Linked DNA regions of Coturnix japonica. The protein of the gene in region 1 interacts with the protein of each later gene in a pairwise test. Links are inferred from orthologs where the notes say so. Each region holds a gene or a part of one and is shown on either strand. Other genes may lie near its edges.

Region 1 (5,186 bases):
TCACCACCCATACGCTTAGTTTTAAAATTTCATTCTCTTGGAGCACCTGTTTTCTACGTGGCAACTATTTCTATGAGAGCAAAAAAAGCTATACCTTTGTTCTATATTACTGCATGCTTTTTTACTCAAAACAATTTTTACCTCCTGTGCAAGGTTAAGTATTTCCCACGTCATTTACAGGTTGTATGGGAACTGTTGGGTCATGGCCTGAACCACGGACTGAGTACCTGGGGAAAAGACCCAGTCAGCCCTGGGAGCACAGGTGAAGGTGTGACTGGAAGGGGTGGAGCCTGGCCACACCTCTCTTAGACCCCATTTAAGGTCTGACTGCCACTAGGGAAGGACACCTGGTTGGAGATTCCTTCCTTGTGGAGTTTTCCCTGCAGGCCTGAATCTTTAGAGGTGGGTGAATGCTTTTCCTTTGTAACACTTTGCATTGCACTGGTCCCTTTGATATTACGTCTCCTGTATCACCATTCCGCTGTGTTGATCTTTCTAGTTGTTACGCGGGTGTATCTCAATTCATTGAGGTCACTATATTGGAGGTGTTAAAGAGATGGGGATGCATTACACTAAAGGGTATGGGTTATAGGTTTTCAGGATCTAATAGGGTGAAGCCCTGAGCACCCTACTCTAACCCTACAGCCAGTGTTAGACTGGAAACACCCTCAGAACCCCTCCAACCTAAACCCCCTATGATCCTTTTTAGGGCTGTAAATTCCCTGTTCTAAAACACCGTGTAGCATAGCTGAAACCCGGGAGGCCTGCTGAAGAATCAACTTCTTACAGCGCCTGCTAGAGCCCGGGCCTTAGGGCATCACCAGGAAGTTCCTTGTCCCGACCTGCTCGTTGTTTACCTGGGGTGTCCCCCAACCCCACAGTGCCCGTTCCCAGGTGCACTGTCAGAGCAGGCAGCGCCCTGGCTCCCACCCCCCGCCCCTCAGACGCTCCGCTTATTGTTTACCGCCCCAACGCCCCCACAGCCGTAGTGCCGGCCAGGCCGCACGCTCCGGCAGCCGGCCCGCGCCGTACCAGCCCCACCGCCGCACCCGCTATAGGCTGACGAAGGGAGAGGGGCCTACGGGAGCCCCGCTACTCACCGGGACGCTTGTGCCGGGCGCTGCGGGGCCCAGAGGAGCGGCTCGATCCCCGCCCGGCGCTACAGCTCCGTCTCAGCTGCGGCAGCGCCCTGCCCGCTCACGTGCCCGCCGCCATGACGCGTATTGAGGCGGAACTGGCCTCACTCTGAGCGCTGTGCCTCGCTAGCGATGGCGCGGGCGGGCGCGGCCGGCGCAGCGTCCCTCGCTGGGCGGCGCTGGCGGGAGGCGGCTCCTCGTTTGGTTGTCGCGGCGGCTGGGCCGGGCCGGGCTGGGCTGGGCTGTGCCGGCGGCGGGCGTGGGGCTGGCGGGAGCGGCTGCCCGGCGCGGTGCCCCGGCCCGGGGTGAGCATGGTGCCCTAGTGCTGGGGCTATGTCGGAGGCGGCCCGGAGCCTCCTGCAGCGCTGGGGCGCCAGCTTCAGGAAAGGCACCGACTTCGACTCCTGGGGGCAGCTGGTGGAGGCGATCGACGAGTACCAGATGTGAGTGCGGGCCCGGGGAAGGCGCGGAGAAACGGGCGGGCGGCTCCTGCAGTGCTTCCCTACCGCCCGGCACCGCCGAGCCGGGCAGCCCGGGGCGGGGCGGGGCGGTCGGCTGCAGGGCCTATAGGCCGCGGCCACCCCCGGCCTTGCCGTCGGGGCCGTTATGTAACGCGGGGCCGCCCCGAGAGGCGAGGCGGGATGCGGGACCCCGGCTGAGGGGAGCGGGGGTGGCCGGGACCCGCCCTGCAGGAGCGAAGCCCCCTGGGTGCGGGTGGGCGCTGCTGCGGGGTTCCATGAGCGATGGCGGGAACCTGAGCGAGCAGCTGGGAGCTGAGGTTGTTGTGCTGGGTGTGTGGAAGAAGTCCCGAGCGTTCTCTCCCTGTAGAGTATCAGCCATAGGGGAACCGTCCGAGAAGTCTAATAGAGCTGCTCGGGGCTGGAGGTGCAGCTGCCCTGGCTCCTAACTGGGTGCCGATACCGGGTGGACGCTGCATCGTGAGGTGCTCATCTCCTCCGTGCAGTCCCTCAGCGGGTGGGATGATGGACACTCGGTTATCTGCTGTTTGCTGGTGGGCTGCAGCTCGGGAAAAGCTGTTACTGCACACATCTGCCCTTAGGTAGACATCCATGAGGAGTGCTCTGTGACCCTAACGCTGCAATGCCCCTAGGCAGTATTAGGGGTTAGTTTCCTTCAAGGAAATCCCCTCAGAACAGAAAGTCTTCAGGCTTCTCCTTCAGAGCTTGCTTTGCTGAGAAGTTCACTTAATGACTGCAGCCAGACCGGTGGAAGAGCTGAGGCATGGTTTTCATTCCCTTTCTCTTTCATCTGATAAGAACTGAGGTGATCTTGGTGCCTGTGCTTTATTCCAACATAGCAGCAGCATGATATATCTGTAAGAAAGCTCCTCTGGGTAGCACCATTGTGAGCTGCCCTTGTAAGCTTTACCACTGAGCCTCTGAATAGAGGAGCAGTCAGCAGATAAACTCAGTGGCCCCAGGAGGGAGAAGATCAAAGGATGACAGGGATTTCCTGGGGAGGAGCAGAACCTTTCCAGTCTGCTTATCCACTGCTCTTAGATGTAGCAGGTAGACCAACAACAGCTTTGATCCGTAGGATAGAAACCAGAGTTAAGAAGCATAGGGTGAGATACCAGCCTCTAGCTCTGGAGAAACATCCCATCGTGACTTCATGCTACTTGCTGCCTTTTTAAATGGAAGTTTGATCACGCTGGTGCAGCTGGTTTAGATGCTGTTAGCAACTGCCAGTGTAGGAAGAATGGTAATAAACTGTGATGAGCTTGCTTACACTGAGAAAGATCTTTCTAGTCTAAGTGAGTTCAATTCAGGGTTTTAATGGCTCCTGGCATAACTGCTCGCCTCCCTTGTCCAGGGGGCCTCCATCTGCTCAGGTCTGGAAGTTTCATGCCAAGATTGACCCACGCTCATGTGGGAGCCCTCAGCCACCAGCAGCACCTCCCACCATTGGACTATTGCCCACGCATCCATGGCAAGAAGATGGATTCCTTTAGGAGCACAAAATTACGAAGAGATTGTATTGAGGTGTCCACAGTGCCTGTTGCTGTCTTAGGTTTTCCCCTCAACTCCTCTCTCTCTCTTGCCCTTAAATATATGTATATATTCACAGAGAACAGCAACAATTGCAGTTTCCAATCGCATGGTTTCGCTTGTTTAATTTTCTCCTTCCTCCCTAGACGGAAACTGTAACTCTTCCCATAGATTCCCTCTAGCTTCCTTTCGCTTTCATGAACTGTTTGCTTGCTGTTACTTCCCAAACCCCTTGACACTGGGCTCTGTGGTGGTAATGGGTGGAGCTGCAGCTCTGCGTATGATGCTGACAGGCACAAATGGGAACTGCTGCACCCTGGGAGCTTCAGCCACAATGTCCCCATATCCCTCAGTGGGAGAGTGTGTGGCCATTGCCTGGGCTACCTGCTGCTCCTCTGTCTGCAGCCATTACTCTTGGCAGTCACATTCTCCATGAGAAACATAGCACTTGGATCTCAGTGGGTCCTTTCCACGGGCAGTGTAATTTATGATAGTTATAGAAGGGGCTGTTGGCTAGAAGGACCCTCATACCTTCTATTTTTTGACACACTCTAAGTAGCTTTTCCTGCATAATACTTTGTCTTCTGTTTGTTAGTTTGTATTTGGTGTGGCCTGCTGTGGCTATAGAAATCTTTGTGAAGAAGCTTCTTGGAGCAGCAGTCTGTGCCATGTTTTCTGGACACCGTGGCAGTGGTGATGGGGTTCTGTGCTGTCCTCTCACTGTAGAATTTTCTCTCCTTCTCCTCCAGATTAGCGAGACATCTCCAAAAAGAAGCTCAGTCTCAGCACAACAACTCAGAATTCACAGAAGATCAGAAGGTAAGCGTTGCTGTTGGTGTAGTCAAGGAATGTGTCTCGCAGTTGTTGTTTTTGTGTCTGGCAGACCTGAGCTTTGTGATACCTGTTTTCCTCTCTTAATATGCAATAACAGAGGCAGAGCCCAGTGCAGCTGAAACTGCTGCCGTCATTAGATGTGACAGATGCTCTGCTGTGTAATACTGAGCGTCTGATGTCTTACATGCTGGTCAGAGTCCTTCATAATCTGAGTGTTTCTTTTTTTCTGGGTGACCTTTTGATTACTTGCTTATACAACGTTAGCGTGATTTGTGTTATGAAGACTGAATGCAAAATGTCTTGAGCCGTAAATGTTGAGGGTGAGCATGGAGGATCTTAGCCTAACATGTAATGCCTGACTGGAAAGGATCATAGCTGCATATTCCTTACTAGTTTCAGTGTTATTTATAGCCCTTCAGATTATTGAGCTGTCTTTCCTCTTTCCTCCCTTCTCTCAGCTGAAAAGGCTGTTTTTTGTCTGAGTATTGTTGCAATTCTGTGACAGGTTTTAGGAGGAGTATGTGTGTTGAAGTCCAACACACACAAACATCTTCAGCAGAATACAAGACCTGGGGTATAATGGAGTCTGTGTTTGTTAACGCCTGTCCTGAAAACAAGCCCTGGCTACAGAAATTGCAGATTAACTTGATCATTTATCACTATGAAATACACCTCTATGTGCAGTCTGACAGTGGTCTGTAAATGTTTTCTTGATGTATACCATCAAAAAGAGCAAAGGACCGGCCTTTTCTATTGCCCTTCTGTGAAGCAGAGGATAAGGCTTAAACTGAGTCAGAATCTTGGAGCAGGGCTGGGAGCACCTTTCCCGAACTGGAGGATCCTTGTTAACATTGGGCAGATGCTCACTCATTCATTACTTCTGCACTCTCTCCCTTCCTGATATCTTTCTCCATAGTTCTTGCCTATTACCATTTTTACTGCACATTTCTCCTCTGTGGGGACTTTTGAAAATAGGATTGGTTCGTATCATTCACTCAGCATACAGGAATAGAGTTTAGTGCACTTCTGGGTTTTCAGTCAGTTTAGTTAACTAGAAGTATATCTCCTCTCTTGCTCCCTCTCAAAAATGCCCATAGCTGAGCAGCTAGTTATACTGAAATACATTCCTGTCTTGGCATCCGCCCTGCTCTTTCATCTCAGCTCTGGGAAGTTACTCGTTTCCTAATTTCTTGTCTTTTCTAGTTAC
Region 2 (4,719 bases), about 82 Mb from region 1:
TGCAGAGTCACCACCTGGGGAACCGAGTTATGGACAGCACGACAGAGGATGAGCAGGCTGAAAGTGTTACAGCTAGATTTAAAAATACATTCTTCCTCATATATTAATGGAAACTGGAGTCCTTAATGTGCATCTTGTGCAAGGGAAGATGAACATGTTAATGGTCCCAGATTCCTAATTCAGTGTTTCAAACACAGCAACACATGAGCAAACTCTGCCTGAGGGAACCAGAATGTTTGGCCTCAGAAACACAGCAGGGAACCTGGATTTGCTTGGGTCTGTTTAAAATCACAGTCTTCAGTGGCACCTCTATAGACAGGGCATGTATTGGATGGTTCTGGTCATCGTTTTCCCTTAGAGAAGTGAACTAATTGAGTGCTTTACGATTCCTCTCACAGCACTAAGTCATTTAACACACCATAAAATCTTTTTATGAACTTTTATGAAACTCTTTATCAGGCTGTTATTTTTTTGTGGGTCTGCCTTGCAGCACTTATTTGGAGTTTCAGAAGTATGTTAAAAAACACTGCCATCCTACATTCTGCCAGTGTTAGTTCTGAACCAAGCCCAGCAGCCAATGAGTTGAATGTACCTGTTATATTCAATCCCTCTGGCCCAAATCCCAAGTGTTGCATTTTAGGAAGAGATGATTTCCTGGTTATGTTGGAAGTGCCCCAGTGGACTTGGCTTCTTGCTGACTCTCAGTGGCCTTGGGTTAATTGGTCATTTTTGATCCACCGTTTCCCATGGTGTTTAATGAAGTTTGTAATCTTCCTGTCTCCCATTCTTTGCCTTGTTTATTTCTGTTCTCTTCCTGCATGTGTTTAGATGCGCGCTTAGTGGCTGGTTAACTGTGCTAACTTTTCTTCCTTGGTTTCAAAGAAGCTATTCCTGATGATACAGACAAGCTCACGCACATGGACCTGGGGGACTGTGGTTTCATTAGTGGTATACATAGCACAAAGGAGCTTTGATTCTAGGTTGCATCTCTTAACACTTAATATAACTTAATAACTCTTAATATGTGATTGGTGTGGCATAAGTTCAGTTTCTTTGGGTTGAAAGGCTTTTCTTGAGCTGATTAAATACTCGGAACACCGTGGAGATGTAAATAGAGCCTGTTTGATGTTTTTCCTTTCTGACTTAGCCCGTAGAAGACAGAAGTGGTCCGTGGATCCACGAAACACTGCCTGGAGTAAAGATGAATCTAAATTTGGACAGAAGATGCTGGAAAAGATGGGCTGGTCCAAAGGAAAGGTATGGTCAGGAGAGCTGTGCAGCTCTGAGGTTGTGTCTGCTGTTCCTGAACTAAAAATGCTTTAGGAAAAGAAACAAAAAAAATAAGGGGTAGAGGGCTACCGGGCTGATGTTGGTCCCAGTGCTTAAAACAGCTGTGATGTTCTGCTGTACCAGGCTGGATGTGGCTCTGGGCAGCCTGGTCTGCTGGTTGGTGACCCTGCCCATGACAAGGGGTTTGAAACTAAATGATCTTTATGATCCTCTTCAATACAGGCCATTCTGTTACTCTAGTATTTTTATTTGGTTTATTCTCATAAGCCTGCTAAGAACACAGAGAATTTGAGCAAAGTTAGATTTCTGTAATTTCTTACAAAGATACTTGCTAGCTTATGCTTACTTTTATCATAGAATCAGCTTTTCACATAGAATCATAGAATGGCCCAGGTTGGAAGGGACCTCAAGGATCACGAAGCTCCAGCCCCCCTACCACAGGCAGGGCCACCAACCTCCACATTTAATACCAGCCCAGGCTGCCCAGGGCCCCATCCAACCTGGCCTTGAACACCTCCAGGGATGGACGGGGCATCCACAGCCTCTCTGGGCAGCTGATCCAGCTTTCATCTGTTTTTAAAGGTTACTTCTGATCCTTGTATAAAATGCAACATTACATGAGCTGTATTCCCTTGCAGCTCCAGCATGTACCTGTGGTGTGAGGTGACTGGTTGCTGGTGCTAAGAATAATCTCCAGGTCAGCATAGACAGCTGCAAATATTTCTACTGCCACTCAAAAGCAGTTTAACTTCCACAAAGATGCCTCAGCAAAGCTGAGATTTGGGCCTGTGTATCAAGCATATTTAGTGAAACAAACACATAGAACCTCTCCAACACTATTTATTAAATTCTTCTTCTTGATCTCCTCCCTTTTAAAATAAACAAAATTAGGGCTGTTCTCAGTTCTTTGAATGTATTAAAACTTAAGAGTGAGGAAAAACAAGGCTGCCCTTGGGTTTCTCAGTTTAGCCTACTGCTGCTACCTCAGTTGGTAACATAGCCAACATAGTATAGATCTGGCTTCTGCCTGCCTTTAATTTCACAGATGATGAGCAGTGATACTGATTCAAAGGCTGCTGAAGTCATGGAACTGGCAGTGTTTTCACTAGGCATTAGAATGAATTGTTAGCAAAGTGTGGGACTGAGTTATGTCAGGTTGTAAGTGTGGCTGTTTTGTATGCGTAAGTCTAAAATAGGTATACAAATCAGAGTAGAAAGAGTGCTGGTTATTATTCAGGCTGCCAGTTCCTCAACATAGTTAATGCCTTTAACTGATACGAGCACATTGTGTTGGGGTGTGGAAGGAAGGCCTTGTGGTGTTTGCTGTCATTCCCCCCAATCTTCTTGACAATAAATTTCCTACATGAGCTACTAAATCTTCTACAACAGTTATAGTTGTACTAGAGGGATTTATGACCCTCTTCTGCTGGGAACTCAGACAAATGGAGCCGTAGCTTGATCGAGGTAAGGAGTAAAAGCCCATCTGTGCTCTGAAATTAAGCTGATTATGTTAGTCCTGTTATTAGTTGTATTGGAATTGGGTCAGGGTGAGATGTGTAGCCAGGTGCTCTGCTTGTTTCCATACTTTTTTGTTAGTGGGAGCTTCAAGGTAAGTCTTCCACCCCACTGACCAAAAAAGAAGGCTGAAGGATCTGTGATAGCAGCAGCCTTATTCAAACAGTCCTTGTTGCTCCACATACTGCGTAGGCAAAGGCTTTATCCACAGGACTTTGTTCCACCATTCCATCAGACCTGTATTGTTATGGCCTGATGGGAGAAAAGCAGATAGCAGGACCAATGTTCAAAACAAAATGCCTTGTCTTTTTTTTTTTCCCCTGGTTGTACAATTAAGAAAGATAATACTGGGTCTGGAGCTTGTTTCCCATATTGGAATGCTTGCATTTAATCAGGATAGACAAAACCAACACTTGCTTGCCCCAGTATCTTCACCAAATTACGAGTGTAAACAAGATGGAAAAAGTTCCTAATGACCTGCTAGCTCCAGTCTGATCCTCCCGCTTCCCCTCACCCACTTTAATATAAATTAATTCTGCTTTTTAAGTTCCATGAGGCATCTGTCTTGTAGCTGTTACACAACTGCCTTCGCAATGGCGGAGGTGGTTTTGATAAGAGGCATGTTCTTTTTATGTAGTGTCTTGTTTTAAAATTGAAAACACTTTGGACTTGCCTAGGAATGTCAGGTGGCTTCCTGATTAATCACCTACTGCTTAATGATGTTATTTTAGTGTTTATTGTATTTTGCTGGAGGCCTAAGTAGTAAATTAAAAATACTTAATATCTCATGTATGCTAATGCTTGTGAATGAGTTCAGTTGCAGGCAAGCAAATAAATAGTAACCTGTGGGTTCTTGCTACACTTCACTGCAAAATGTCTTCAGTACAGCAGCTCTAGTTGCTTAGTCACTGCTGGAAAAAAAACCTTATGTTTTTACTCTTCAATCCTCGTTAGGGTCTTGGAGCTCAGGAGCAAGGAAATACAGAACACATCAAGGTTCAAGTGAAAAACAACATGCTGGGGTTAGGAGCATCCATCAAGAACGAGGTGAGTGCTAAACCCAGGTAAGGAGATGTGGGTTCCTTTTCAGGTGAGGCACAATTTTTGTAATGGGATGTTAGTGAAATCTGTTGTCATACCTAATGGCAGCATGTACCTGTGTGAACTTCTCTGCAGAGACTCTCTTGACCTGGAATTTAGTTTGGCCCTGCTCAGTGGTTGGGGAATAAATTTCTATTTGGGAAAGTTACGGTGAATTCTCAGAGCTGTTCAGTGAGTTTTTGTTCTAAATCACTGGAACAGGTTGCCCAAGGAGGCTGTGGATGCCCCATCCCTGCAGGCATTCAAGGCCAGGCTGGATGTGGCTCTGGGCAGCCTGGGCTGCTGGTTGGTGACACTGCACACAGCAGGGGGCTGGAACCGGATGATCATTGTGGTCCTTTTCGACTCAGGCCATTCTACGATTTTATGAAATACTTGTTTCCTCCACATATCTTGTACCTAGCTTAGTTTTATGTTTTCTTTCCCTCTCCCTGGTGGAGTTGCCTTGCTAACTGGATTTCAGGTACATGTAGAGGTTGCAGAATGTGCTATTAAAGGTGCTTGTCTCAGAATCAACAACTTAAGTAACTGCTGGAAAATCACACTCGTATTTCCTGCCTACTGTTGAAAAAGTCTCATGCAGTCTGGGACATGTGGAGCCAACAGCGGCTCAGCATTATTTAAAAGCTTACAAACACAACCCTTATCGGTTCTGCGCTTCTGAGTAACTACAGCAAGTTGTTACTGTATGCCACCTGTGGAGCTTCAGGGGGTCCCTCCCACTAAGAATCCAGTATATGTGATTAAGTTACTTCTTGGAGGGCATTGTTTTTTAATACCTGCTTTAGCGAAACTTCTGTTCCATCTGTAAAC

Evidence for each region. The genes of interacting proteins can lie anywhere in the genome.
Region 2: the proteins of AIDA (region 1) and PINX1 interact in binary tests that used the Homo sapiens proteins (3 or more experiments, as listed by UniProt). The link is inferred for Coturnix japonica from reciprocal best matches to the Homo sapiens genes AIDA and PINX1.

What each region holds. Positions count from the first base shown.
Region 1 is NC_029518.1:15,668,995-15,674,180, forward strand, and holds the start of AIDA (axin interactor, dorsalization-associated protein), read left to right. Parts: upstream 1-1,354; 5' UTR 1,355-1,469; coding exon 1,470-1,579; intron 1,580-3,068; exon of another isoform or gene 3,069-3,083; coding exon of another isoform or gene 3,084-3,139; intron 3,140-3,894; coding exon 3,895-3,964; intron 3,965-5,186. UniProt on the Homo sapiens protein: Acts as a ventralizing factor during embryogenesis. Inhibits axin-mediated JNK activation by binding axin and disrupting axin homodimerization. This in turn antagonizes a Wnt/beta-catenin-independent dorsalization pathway activated by AXIN/JNK-signaling.
Region 2 is NC_029518.1:97,540,363-97,545,081, reverse strand, and holds part of PINX1 (PIN2/TERF1-interacting telomerase inhibitor 1), read left to right. Parts: intron 1-1,147; coding exon 1,148-1,257; intron 1,258-3,759; coding exon 3,760-3,852; intron 3,853-4,719. UniProt on the Homo sapiens protein: Microtubule-binding protein essential for faithful chromosome segregation. Mediates TRF1 and TERT accumulation in nucleolus and enhances TRF1 binding to telomeres. Inhibits telomerase activity. May inhibit cell proliferation and act as tumor suppressor.